Linked DNA regions of Oryzias latipes. The protein of the gene in region 3 purifies or fractionates together with the protein of the main gene of each other region. This does not show direct contact. Links are inferred from orthologs where the notes say so. Each region holds a gene or a part of one and is shown on either strand. Other genes may lie near its edges.

Region 1 (4,148 bases), on a different chromosome or scaffold from region 3:
TTTTATTTCTGATGTGTACTACAGTTTTTTTTTTTTTTCCTGGAGACTATGTGTTTTCTTGGAGTGTGAAAACTCGCATTGTGGGGAAAAACATGCTAGCTAAAGAGACCTGGCAACAATGCTTCATTTGGATGATGGATTTACTAAACTCATAAATCAGGAAATGTATTTTAGATGCATATCTGCATCAGAAAGGAATTTTCAACAATGGAAGGTGAGACTGAAAGACGGACATACTTGAGCAAAATTTGTACTTTTTGGTCTTCCATCACTCAAAAACAAATATATATTGCTCTTAGTTTACATTTTTTTTAAAGAAAAACATTCACATTTTAGATTTCTTACTTTAGCAACAATATATTTGTCTTAAATATAAAAAACTCACACAGACGTATTTATATGCAGCAATTAGCAAGAACATATTAGAAATAGCTAAATTCACAAGAACATTTTAGTACCTTCTTCAATGCTTCCAGTTTTGGCATCCTTCTTTTTCAGTTTTTTCTTGGAAATCTTCTGAAAGGGGGCAAACTCCACCACTGCAGGATATTCTTGACCTAAAAATTTTTTTTTTTAATTTGTTATTTAGCAGATAATCAAGTTAATAGTTTAACTTAAAGGCCATAAATGTGCCTACAGAGAATATTACAGTTTGTGTTTTGTTATTTGTAGTTATTATAAACAAAGTCAAAGAAATTTGAACCAATACCTTTGTTGTCGATAAAGACGTAGCCGTCAAATCGATCCCTGAACAACACGATATCCTCAGTGTTTTTAAAATTGATATATGCTCTTGAAAAAAGGTGGGGATACAGACTGCAATAAAAAAAGAAGGAAAAAAATAAAATTAAGAATATAAAACATATTTATTGAAAAAATGAGTAGTTTTTCAAACAAGTAATAAATCACAACACACCTTTGATCTGCTGAGAAGAACTCAAAGTAATCATACGATGGGAGCGGACTTAGTTGTTCTTCAAGCTGTTCTTTTGAAAGGTTAGGTGGCAGTCTTCTGATCACAACCTGTGTACAACCAGTTACTCCAAGGTTATTAACTGCTGTTCTCAATGAGTGTAAAGTCTCTCCACAAACTTTCAGAATTAACTTTATTTAAAAAAAAAAAAAAAACTATCAGTCCTGACCAAAAGCTTGACAAGTTCAAACATTTTTTTCAAATCATTACCGACTCATTTAAGCAGACTAATAAAACTAAATACTGGAACCTGTAAAAGAAAGATGCAGGATATGACATGGAATACACAATTATTTTAAATGTAGTTAAAGCTACAACAAAAGTATTTCTGTATGATACTTTTAAAAATGTATTTGGCTAGTTTTCAAAATATGTTTATCCTACTATATAACAGCATCAAAATGGGCAACAGTCAACAGACAACAAATCCTGAAGTGCAACAGGATATGCAGAAAATTAAATAACCAAAAAATAAAAAAAAGATGTTTTGAGTGACATGGAAAGATCTTTTAAGTTATTTTACTGATTTCTCACCCTTGTTTGTTTCCACATTTTAAATATTCAATTCCTGAAAACAGTCTACTGTGCCAAAAGAATAATAGAAACATGTCCTCGTCGGCCTGTTTTATTACTGCTGCCACTTAAAAATGAGTGCAGTTGTTTTTAAACAAAGCAGGTTAAATTTATTGACATGGGTTCAGAAAGCATTATGAAATAGTTAAAATAGGGGTCTGCAACTTAAAGCTCCAGACCCACATGTGGGTCTTTTACCTTTCATAGTAGCTCGCTGGCTAAAGACAAATAAAATGATAGTAATTACATCCTAAAGTGAGGGTTTGTCTGTTTGATTTATTTAAATTTGTTAGGTTTTATAAAATCACAGGTCCAGTACCTGTGATTCTATATTTTGTCTATTGCATCATAAAATAATAAAGTCATGTTCACGCACGCACACACACATACACACACACACACACACACATATATATATATATATGTCAGCAGCAGTAATAGGAGTTATAGGGAAAAGGTGCCCACCAAGGAAGACCTAGGTTATAACAAGAGAAAATGCCTTTATTGACTCATTGTTTTAAAATTTGATAGGAGTGTACTAGCGACACAGGAATGACCCTATTAGAATATATTTTATTTAAAAGAAAGACATGCAATTCTTCATCAAAATAAAAACAAAAAAACAATTTCATTTTTTTCCAATAATTTTTCTCTGACAGCTTTTAATTTTAGTCAAGCCAAATAAATAAGTGGATAAATACAATTTCAACATATTTCAACAGTAACAACGATACGAATGCAGAGCAGTGTCAAAATATGTGAAAGGGTAAAAAAGACTTTAGGTAATCCGTGAGAAAAAGCCCAAATGGCTCTTTTGGTATTAAAGGCTGCTGACTCCCACTGTTTGTTCCGTCTTTCATTTTTAAAAGATATGGAGCCACATAATGTGACATTGTTGTGAGGTAAAGATGAAATATTTGCTAAACATAGTGGAAATGATTGAAAATCGTGCATTTACAGTCTTTTTCGCTGTCCTCGGTGCTGAAATGATCAGCCACTTCCTCCATGTCTGTTGTCTTCATCAAGAGTAAACAATACGGCGCGTACCAAAACGCTGCTTCACTCACCTTTGAAAAGACCTCCTTCTTCTCTTCTTTTTGTTTGAGATGGCAACCTGGGCTCTCCTGCTCTCTTGGAATGTCCTTAAATTGTATTTCGACACTTTTCTCCGTGTCCACGGCCATTTGGTCCTTTTCAGACCTCATTTCTCTACATCTCCTACGAGCTGTGTGCTCGCGATAACTCACGAAAGTTATCGCGAGAGTACGCGTAGATCGATGTTGGATGCGGGTGTTATGTTTAATGAAAACATATATTTGAGTACTTTAGTTACATAATGATGTTATGTGTGACCTTCATTAACACTTATTTTGTAACGAGTAGAAGAAAAAGGCAAACAATAATTCAATACATATTTTGACATAAACGCTGTTCATCTCCATATGCTCCCTCTTCTTACCGCGCAGCTGGGATGATGATCTACGCGATCCGTTCGCCATCGCTTGTGATCGGATTACTGGAAACTGCGCTTCCCTCAAAGCTGGAGGACCGAATCACTGACAACCCCTGAACATCTCGAGAGGGAACTAGAGAAAACAGAACCAAAATGGAGAAACCACATATTTGTTAAAGTTTCATATGGGACAGGAATATTGATTACAAACTGGTAGAGATATTTTTGTTTTGACGAAAACATTTATTTGACAATTTTTTTTAATTATTTTTTATCAGTCTCACCATTTAAAAACGCCTGCTTCCCGCTGCTGTTCTCGGCGCGCACTCGGGGTCTCTCCGGTGTGGAAACGGAGCTCCTCAGGCTGCTGGAGAGGAGCGTGGAGCAGGTGTCCAGATCCCTGCAGACCCGCTCATTAGTGCAAATACCTGTGGACTTGGACGGAGTACAACCCATCCCTCCTCCAGAAACAAACACTCTTAGATCTAGTGGTGGAAAGACAGTCAGGAAAGGATGGTGGGATGTTGCCCCTTCAAGCAGAAGTCTCTCCTCCCCTCACATGGAAGACAGAGGACTCTTCTAAACAGACAAGAAGTTAGCCTCAGTCTCAGGAGTTAATTTGAGCGCACAAAAAGCTCAATGGTTCCCACAAATTGCTAAGGCAGCCCTGTGACCCCGAAAGGGTACATGGATTCTGCGGACACAATTTAGTATTTTGTGCACACAAATTTGCATTTTATGGCCACAATTTGGTATTTTGTGCACACAAATGAGCATTTTATGACCACAATTTTGGATTTTTTTGCACACAAATTGCGACAGACTGGCGAGCTGTCCAGGGGGTCCCCTGCCTTCACCCACAAGTTGGCGGGATAGGCTCCGGGAGCCCTGTGACCCCGAAAGGGTCAAAATGGAAGATGAATGAATGCACACGAATTTGCATTTGCGGACACAATTTAGTATTTTGTGCACACAAATTTGCATTTTATGGCCACAATTTAGTGTTTTGCACACAAATTTACATTTTGTGGCCACAATTTGGTATTTTGTGCACACCAATAAGCACTCTGATGCCACAAATTAGTAGTAAGTGCACAAATATTAGCATTTTATGGCCACAATTTGGTGTTCTGAACACAAATTTGCATT
Region 2 (4,148 bases), on a different chromosome or scaffold from region 3:
ATGTGAGGTGTTTTCTGTTCATGTGGTGCACAAAGGAAATAAATTATTTCCTCACAAACATGGAAGACATTCTTTCTCCCCGACAAGTGTCGGATCTGTGGGACATTTTGAGAAGAACTCATTGAATTTCTATTCCGTTTTTCCCTTTCGGGGTCACGGGGCTGCCGGAGCCTATCCCGGCCACTTGTGGGCGAAGGCAGGGGACACCCTGGACAGTTCGCCAGTCTGTCGCAGGGTAGAATGTCCACAATCACACACCCATTCACACTCACACTCACACCTATGGACAATTTAGATTAACCAATTAACCTATGAAGCATGTTTTTGGACAGTGGGAGGCAGCCGGAGACCCCGGAGAAAACCCACGCATACACGGGGAGAACATGCAAACTCCACACAGAAATGTCCCCCATTGATGTTCTGTTTCAGGTCCCCCAGCCGGGACCTGAACCGGGGGCCTTCTTGCTGTGAGGCAACCACTGCGCCACTGTGCAGAGAAGAGAAGAACTGCGAAGCAAAAAAAAAAAAAAGGGAAATGTAAAAAACACACATATTTTACCCAGATATAGAAATCCAAAACTCACCATGAACTGATTTACATGTCATGTTAAAGCTAAAAGCTGAACGGAAGTCATTAGTTTGTAGCTAAAAAACTGATGTGGAACAACAGATGTGTCATTTGTTCCTAGTACATACATGTAAATGTCTCGACAGATTTTACGACATACATGGAGGAGAACGCTGAAGAGTCGATGAATAAAGAACATGTTAGTTTAGGAGAGGTGGCTGTCAGTTTATGACTGGACTGTTCATCAAGAGGAATAAAACGGATGAGTCACAGAGAAGTCATGAAACAGAGGAGAGCAAGCCAGACTGAAGTCAGAGCTGAACATTTGTGAACAACACCTTGGTTTCATGCAGAGAGAGACAACCACAGACGATTTGCTCTGGGAAGGAGGTGAATGAAGGTCAGCTGGGGGAAAAACAGAGTATCGTTGGCGTTGCTCACTTCATCAACGACCACCGGGCACGGCGGGTCGTTCTGGAACAGGATCCGGGCTGCAGACAGTCTCTCCTCCAGGCTCTGGTGCTGACTGATGTCATAGTTGTTGGAGGCCCAGCCATCAACTTTGACAAACTGACTTTGAACATTTTCAATTCATAGCAATCTGTTTCTGTAATTTTTCTTTTGTAATACATGTATCTATGTACCATCCCCTGGCATTCTCGTTTTTAATGACTGTTGTTCTTGTTATACATATTTGTTCTATTTGTTTTGAACAATAAAGTTTAAGAAAAAAACTTTGACAAACTGACTGTGACGGAACGGTGCGATAGGGGGCGCCAGACCCCCGACTCGGTTACATTCCCGTCAACGAAGAAGAAGAGCAGGGAACGTCTGCCGGGTCACGGTACCACCGCACCGAACCAGTGCCGGGTCACGGTACCACCGCAGCCTCAGCAGCCCTTGTTCGCAGTAGTTAGCGCCATGGCGGCGGTGCGCAGCCTGCGGGTATCGGTGAAACCAGACAGCGGCTCAGAGCACTCGGAACCGGATTCCGAGTCGGACCGAGATGACGCTCGCGAAGCCGAACCGATGGAGGTGGAGGAGGGCGAGGTGGATGCAGAGGATATCTCCGTTAACCGCTCTCTGAAGGAGCTTCTGCCGGTAAGACCCCGAACTACTTAGGCCCGCAGAGCCGGGGACTGGAGTTTTGCTTCAACATACAGAGTCGGCATGCGATTATTACCCGAAGCTCCGTCTAGTAGTTCCAGGAATTAGTCGGTGACGGGCGCCGCTGTTAATGCTCGCTGCAGCCACGGGGATTTTCTCTTTTCTGGGCCCCTTAGCCAATAGAGAGTTGTTGTGTCGCTCACCTGTTGATCTTTACTTACCTAAGAAACGGCGGTGAGTTTGGAGAATCCGTCTAAAAACGTGCATATATTATAAGCAGAGCTTTCTGCGGGGATTCAGCTAAAATGATCGATTAGCTACTGTCAGTCCATTATAATTATAACCCAGTCTCAGGTCCGGGCCAGCCCATTTATGACCTAGTCTAAGTCTGGGTCATTCCATCATGACCCGGTCTTGAACCAGCTCAGTAGCCTTGGGTTAGTGTCCGCCCTGTGACTGGAAGGTCGTGAGTTCAAATCCAGCCCGAGTCATACCAAAGCCTCTAAAAATGGGACCCAATGCCTCCCTGCTTGACACTCAGCATAGGGGTTAGATTGGGGGAGTTAATGAATAACCCCCTATATGGTGGATTAACTTAATCCACCATAAAGTTCCGTCCGAGCGCGGCTGTGTCCGCAGCTCACCGCTCCCCCAGGGGTGGGGTCAAATGTGGAGAACAAATTTCACATACCTAGTTAGGTGTGTGAAAGTTAACGGTACTTTAAGTTGTACTTTTCTTTAGTCTGGCTCGGCCCATTATGACCCGGTCTGGCAGATGACCTAGTTCTGCCCGCTCTGTCTCTGCAGGACACCAGCCGGCGTTACGAGAACAAGGCCGGAGCGTTTATCACCGGGATTGACGTCAACTCAAAGGTACCGCAGCCTCATCACGCAGCTGCCATGTGATCAGCTCGTTGTTGGTAAAAAGCATTGAAAGCATGAAATAAAGTTCCAGTCCAGGTCCAAAAGTGCAAGGCCTCATGAAAAAGAACCTCACTGAATCACCCACCTGGGTGCCGACCTCTCCAAGCCTGGCTTGGGAACGCCTCGTCTCTCCTCAGACTGCTGCCTCTGCCACCCAGACGATCAGAAGAAAGTAGACGTGTGACCTGCCTTCACCTCCAACCACAAACCATTAACTCTGACGTGAAGGAAGCTGTTACCATGGTAGCCAACTACAAACCGGGGTATGACACAGTTGTTTGTGTTTTAGGAGGCGATTGAGAAGAAGGAGAAGCGAGCGCGACGTTTCCATTTCTGCGGCGAGCAGAGCGTCAGTCAGAAGGCCGTCGTCCTGGACAAGGAAACCATAAAGAAAGGTGGGGGTGGCTCCGGGTTTTGTCGTGTCCCGAGGTGGTGTTGGTGTATTGTTGACGTTGTCGTCTGCTTCAGCCATTCCCCGCCTGCGGCTGGAGGCGCTCCACGTCACGGGCGTGGACGACATGAGCACGCAGGACATCTTCGGCTATTTTAAGGAGTATCCTCCCGCCCACATCGAGTGGATTGACGACGCGTCATGTGAGCGCACGAACGTTTGCAGGACGACAGGAAACCCAAAGAGGGTCCTGAGGTTTAACCACCGCTTCCATCCTTCAGGTAACGTGGTCTGGTTGGACGATGACACCTCCATCCGAGCGCTCATCAACACTAGCAGAATGCCCGACCCGGAGGCCGTTACCACGGAGACCGGAGAGCAGCCAGGCAAAGAGAGCAAAGGTCAGCGAGTGGAAACATGCTCTGACTTTCCGAGGCCGCAGTGCAGCCTGGGTAATGGCTCTATCTGCACACAACAGCTCAGCGAGGTCCAGACTCAGAGGATGAGGAAGAGGAGGGTGAGGTGGGCGATGAAGAGGACGGGGCAGCCAGAAGGAGCAGTGAAGTGCAGGAGGAGCAGCAGCCGAAGGAGCGCGGAACACAGGTAGCTGTCACCAACCGCACAAGCTCATTGGTCAGTCAGAGAGTGGGGGGTGGGGGGTCTAAAGCTGCGTTCACACTGAACGGGAGTGAAGCGTCAGAAAGATTCTGGCGAGCGGTGAATATTCTGGCTGAACTTTGGTCACGAATTCGCGTCACGTCAACCAATCAGGGAGTCAGCTTTAGCCCAGGATGCTTTGATGACGTGATCAGCATCTGGAGGCCAAAACCAACATGGAGGACAATCTGACCGCTCTCCTCCTTAACTTTATGATTTTTCTTTTTTCCATAGAGACAAAAATAAAAAAAAATTCTGGGATTTTCCAAACCTTTAGCCCCTCCCACACACAGCAGGAGCGTCAGGTTTACGACAAGCTTCCAGGAGCAAATTTAGCGCGTGTCAAAACGGAGGAAACAAATTCGCCAGGAGAATTGAGTTTGCAGTAAACTCAGCAAGAGGCTGGAGTCAGGAGGAGCTGTTGACACGTTTATGTGTGTGTTTATGTGTGTGTGCACGACTCAGGTGGACGACCTGTCGCGGGCGGAGAGAGAGTCGCTG
Region 3 (4,234 bases):
ACAGGTTTAATGTTCGATCTAATGTCAAGACAAGATGTGTTTCAGTTCTTGACGTGAAATAATGGAAGGAATTGAGCGATGAATTAAAATGACGTAATTCTCAGTTAAAAGAAAAAAAGTCTAAAACATATTAAAGGTTACAAAACACAGATGTAGAAGGACTTTGTTTACTTGTCTCCATTTATTAAGGACTGTTTCCTACTTTTTGGTTTGTTAAACTGATTAACTTGGACATTGAAGGACAGGCATATAATAAGCTTCATATGCTTCTGCCTATTTTTTTAATTAATTGTTTATACTGTATGTTAGGTAAACAATGCAAATGACAAACTAAACTAAACCAATAAAACCAAAGCAGACATTTCTAAATACTCCAGTGGAAAAGCCGGGTCTGTTCGGATGAACACAGAACTGATATCCTGCTAACGGAAAACATTTTTTTAGCCCAATTAGGTGAAATGGAATTTTTTTCCAGTTATAAACTGGTTGAAAAACACTGCACCAAAAGAGAAAAACATATTTTTTTTGAGTGAAAATACAGTGACAGTCAGGCTTTAAGTATCCTCAGACTCGTTTTAAAACTGAAAAACAACCCTTTGAAATCTGACAATTATTATAATACAGTTCTGATCACAAAGTGCAGATGTCAGACGGTTTCCTCCTTCACTGAGCAGACCGTGAAGTAACAAACTGCAGAAAGGTCAACCCTCTTCTTCTCACGGCCCCCCAAATGCTTTTCTCATCCATTTTTGTGTCGTGCAGTTAGACCAGAATTATGCCAAAGCTTTTATTTTGGTGGAAAAGTCAAAGACTCAACACTGAGCATTTTAGCCTTTAGTGGCGGCCAAACACCAATAAGACGGAAAGAAAATCCCTCAGTAATAATAAAGCCGAAATAGTTTGTTTTTCATACGACTGTTCTTAAATATCAGCTTCACTTCACAGAAACTAAAGTGCTGCTACAAAAGGGCAGTCCAGGCTCTCTCTTAACCCCTTCACGCAACTGTTCTGAGAACACAACAGCCTTATTTTAGCAACCAACTTTCTTTTCTACAAGTATTATAAAATATATGATTAAATCCTACTGAATGAAATCTTCCACATCATTAATATGATGACTTCCATCCTTCCCTCTGATAATTACTGCCTAAATGCTTGTTTTTAATGTTGATCAAATATTCACTTCTTCCGCTTAGATGTTCATTGGAACATAAGCAACATTTGACATCCAAATGTTGTGTCTTTAAAATACAAAATGTGTTCAAAGAAAAAGGAAATGGTTTAAACTCACCTTCAGATAGCCAGTTCTGCGATCCAGATTAAGATGGAGGTTCTTGATTTCCCCAAACTCTGAGAACTTATCGTGGATGTCTTCCTCTGTGGCCTCCTCGTGCACGCCCGTCACAAACAGGATCCAGCCTTCTACAGCTGCAGAGAGGGGAGGGAACAGGGCATCAGACACCCAAACCCCCCAGTCTCCACACCAAGACAAGCAGATGAGTTTACCTGACCTGCTGGCATTCACGCAGTTTCAAAAGTAAAAGTCTGCATTGTTTCAGAGCAGTTTTTTAGTTTTTGCATAGGTCAAAATTAAAACGCAGCCGTGAAACTGATTTATAACTTTTAAACAATGAACTTTAGGTTAAATTAAATTAGTTATCTGCAGCTGTGATGCAGAGGTAGACCTTCAATCAAAAGTTCAGTTCCTGCCTTGCCTGCCCATGTGTGGACGTGTCTTTTGGGCAAGACACTTAAACCCCACAACGCTCGTGGGGGTTACAGGCTGTGACTGTGCATGGGACTGGGACTTTCAAGCCCTTAGTGGCTTAGTAAAGGTAGAAAAGCACAACATTGACCATTTATTCTATAATCAAATTAAATAAATAAAATAAAAAAAAATACACACAAAGATCTTAGATTTTTTACAATCTAAGTGTGACTACAGCTTGTTAATTTGCTTCTATCTGAACATGAAGGTCACTTGTAACACCTACATCTCTGAGGCCCAGGCTCATCTCCGTCCTGTTCCACAGTATCATAGTCCTCTTTGGCTCTGGACCGGGCCCCATCATCTGGAATCAAAAACTTAGAATCAAAACCAAACCCTAAGAAGTCAAGAAAAATAAAGGGAAAAATGCTTTGAAAGCTCACCTGCACCAAAACCTCGTCCTTTCCTCTTCTTGGCTTTCTCCTTTAACTTGTGGATGCTTTCTGCAAACAGACGAATAAAAGCCTAAGGACGCCGTTTTCAGTTTCCTTTAATTCACAAGAGTTTAGTTTATGAAGTTCTCAAATGGAGTAACTATATGTGTTTTTGGGTTGTTTTTTTAGGAACAATGTGCAATTTTTAAATCGACGTTTTTTCTCTCATCTGCGCAACACTAACAGCATGTAGCCGTTGGCTAACATGGATGCTAGCGCTAGCTTAATAGAAAACAAAACAGCTTTAACGTGCAGAGAAAAATACAGTCCGTTTAAATAATTAACATTTTAAAAGCGGCCCTCGCAAACACAGACGGCTGCACCCCCGCTGAGAGGCTCGCTAAGTGGATGAATGACCGCCTTTCGTTGAGTTAGCTGGATGCTAACACGGCTGCGGCCCGCTAACAAACACGCAGTCTGGGCTGAGCGTGATTCTGACCGCACGTGCGGCTATTTGAATTTCATTATTTGGCTGGCAGGACTGCGGTGCGTCCGCCTCTAATTGTGTAAAACAACGCAATACCGTCACCATCCTCATCCATAGGAAAGTCTTCTCCTCCCGCCTCATGAAGGTCCAACACGTCCGCCATGATGTCTGTTTGACTGAGTACGAACAGCGCATGCGCACGGAGAATCACTAAAGAGTCTGAGTACGTAACTTCCGTAAAGATTTTTTTTTAAACTTTATTGTACAAAACGTAAGTAAGTTTAATACAAAACACAATTTTGCTAAGTAAACTTCAGATATGCCAGGGTAGCATACATATTACAGGAGTTTTAGATAAAAAAAAACATTCAGATTTCAACAACTTTCATACAAACATGCAGCTTTCTGATTAAGACTTTTGGAGATGTTACTGAGATACATTTAAATTTGTTTGATTAATAACACAGGGAAAAAATAGGAGATGAAGAAAATTTGCATTTATTAATATAAAATTAGTCAAATATAATAATAAGATTAATAATGAGTTTTTATTTGAAAATGAAATTTTTGTTATTAATTTTTAGTGCAGAGTTTTATTATAATATTCATGATTAATATCACATGTGTTACTGGTAAAAATGCATAATATTAAACGATAATTTATGTTTTAATAATCATGATTTCTAATTTATCCCTTATGAAATAATTTACATTTATCATCATGAAAACTTTTTATTTTTGCAAAGCATTTTAACTGAAACTGCTTTCATTGGGCTTGAGATGATTGTTTTACGTGGTTTGTGCTTTTTATCTTTTATGTTTTTATATGTATATATATATATATATATATATATATATATATATATATATATTTTAACCTGTGATCTTTGTCTGTGAAAGGTGCTATGCAAATAAAATTTACTTACTTACTCAATCATGATATTAATAAATAATCATGATTTTTTATACTTTAGTGTGGACAATTTAATGCAATATAATTAATGATATATTTGTTATTAATAGCATTGTTAAAATTTCCATGCCATATATTTTCAAGAATTGAAAATTGTTGTTATCTTGGTATTATATTTAGTGTCATCACTGATATAATGAGAACAATGAGAAATGTATACATTTGTTTTAAACATTAGTGTCAACATTCACACAACAAAAATATGATTTAAAATACTTTATTATACTGCAAGGGATAGCATTTCTATTATTAAAATTGTGACTATACTTGTTATTAATATTAGAGTTGCAATTTCTATCATAATTATTATTAGTACATTCTGTGTTAATATTGATGTCAAGGTTTTAGAATCAGAATCATCTTTATTACTAATAAGAGCATGACTGCACATGTAAGGCATTTGACTGTAGTGTTGTCTGCAAACTTCAAGAGTTTCACAGAAGTTTATATTTGTGATTGATACAATATTTGTGATTTACACGACTGTTTACATATTTATTAGATTAATCATTACTTAATTAATTGTAATATTATTTTCATTGCTACAGTCAGAACTTCAGCTTTCTGGGTGAAATAGTTTTTACCATCATCTATTTTTTTATCAGGAGGAGGAATGATTAAAAAAAAAAAAA

The links.
Region 1: the proteins of rbm8a (region 3) and regulator of nonsense transcripts 3A purify together in Homo sapiens (co-immunoprecipitation; 4 studies listed by BioGRID and IntAct, with this or other methods). This does not show direct contact. The link is inferred for Oryzias latipes from reciprocal best matches to the Homo sapiens genes RBM8A and UPF3A.
Region 2: the proteins of rbm8a (region 3) and ncbp3 purify together in Homo sapiens (co-immunoprecipitation; 3 studies listed by BioGRID and IntAct, with this or other methods). This does not show direct contact. The link is inferred for Oryzias latipes from reciprocal best matches to the Homo sapiens genes RBM8A and NCBP3.

The regions. Positions count from the first base shown.
Region 1 is NC_019879.2:7,277,960-7,282,107, forward strand, and holds the start of regulator of nonsense transcripts 3A, read right to left. Parts: upstream 2,801-4,148; 5' UTR 2,752-2,800; coding exon 2,614-2,751; intron 1,024-2,613; coding exon 917-1,023; intron 817-916; coding exon 710-816; intron 558-709; coding exon 459-557; intron 1-458. UniProt on the Homo sapiens protein: Involved in nonsense-mediated decay (NMD) of mRNAs containing premature stop codons by associating with the nuclear exon junction complex (EJC) and serving as link between the EJC core and NMD machinery.
Region 2 is NC_019872.2:24,107,090-24,111,237, forward strand, and holds the start of ncbp3 (nuclear cap-binding protein subunit 3), read left to right. Parts: upstream 1-1,348; 5' UTR 1,349-1,489; coding exon 1,490-1,669; intron 1,670-2,482; coding exon 2,483-2,548; intron 2,549-2,888; coding exon 2,889-2,994; intron 2,995-3,067; coding exon 3,068-3,193; intron 3,194-3,271; coding exon 3,272-3,391; intron 3,392-3,468; coding exon 3,469-3,593; intron 3,594-4,112; coding exon 4,113-4,148. UniProt on the Homo sapiens protein: Associates with NCBP1/CBP80 to form an alternative cap-binding complex (CBC) which plays a key role in mRNA export. NCBP3 serves as adapter protein linking the capped RNAs (m7GpppG-capped RNA) to NCBP1/CBP80.
Region 3 is NC_019874.2:29,126,616-29,130,849, reverse strand, and holds the start of rbm8a (RNA-binding protein 8A), read right to left. Parts: upstream 2,801-4,234; 5' UTR 2,793-2,800; coding exon 2,732-2,792; coding exon of another isoform or gene 2,726-2,731; intron 2,212-2,725; coding exon 2,152-2,211; intron 2,073-2,151; coding exon 1,995-2,072; intron 1,429-1,994; coding exon 1,292-1,428; intron 1-1,291.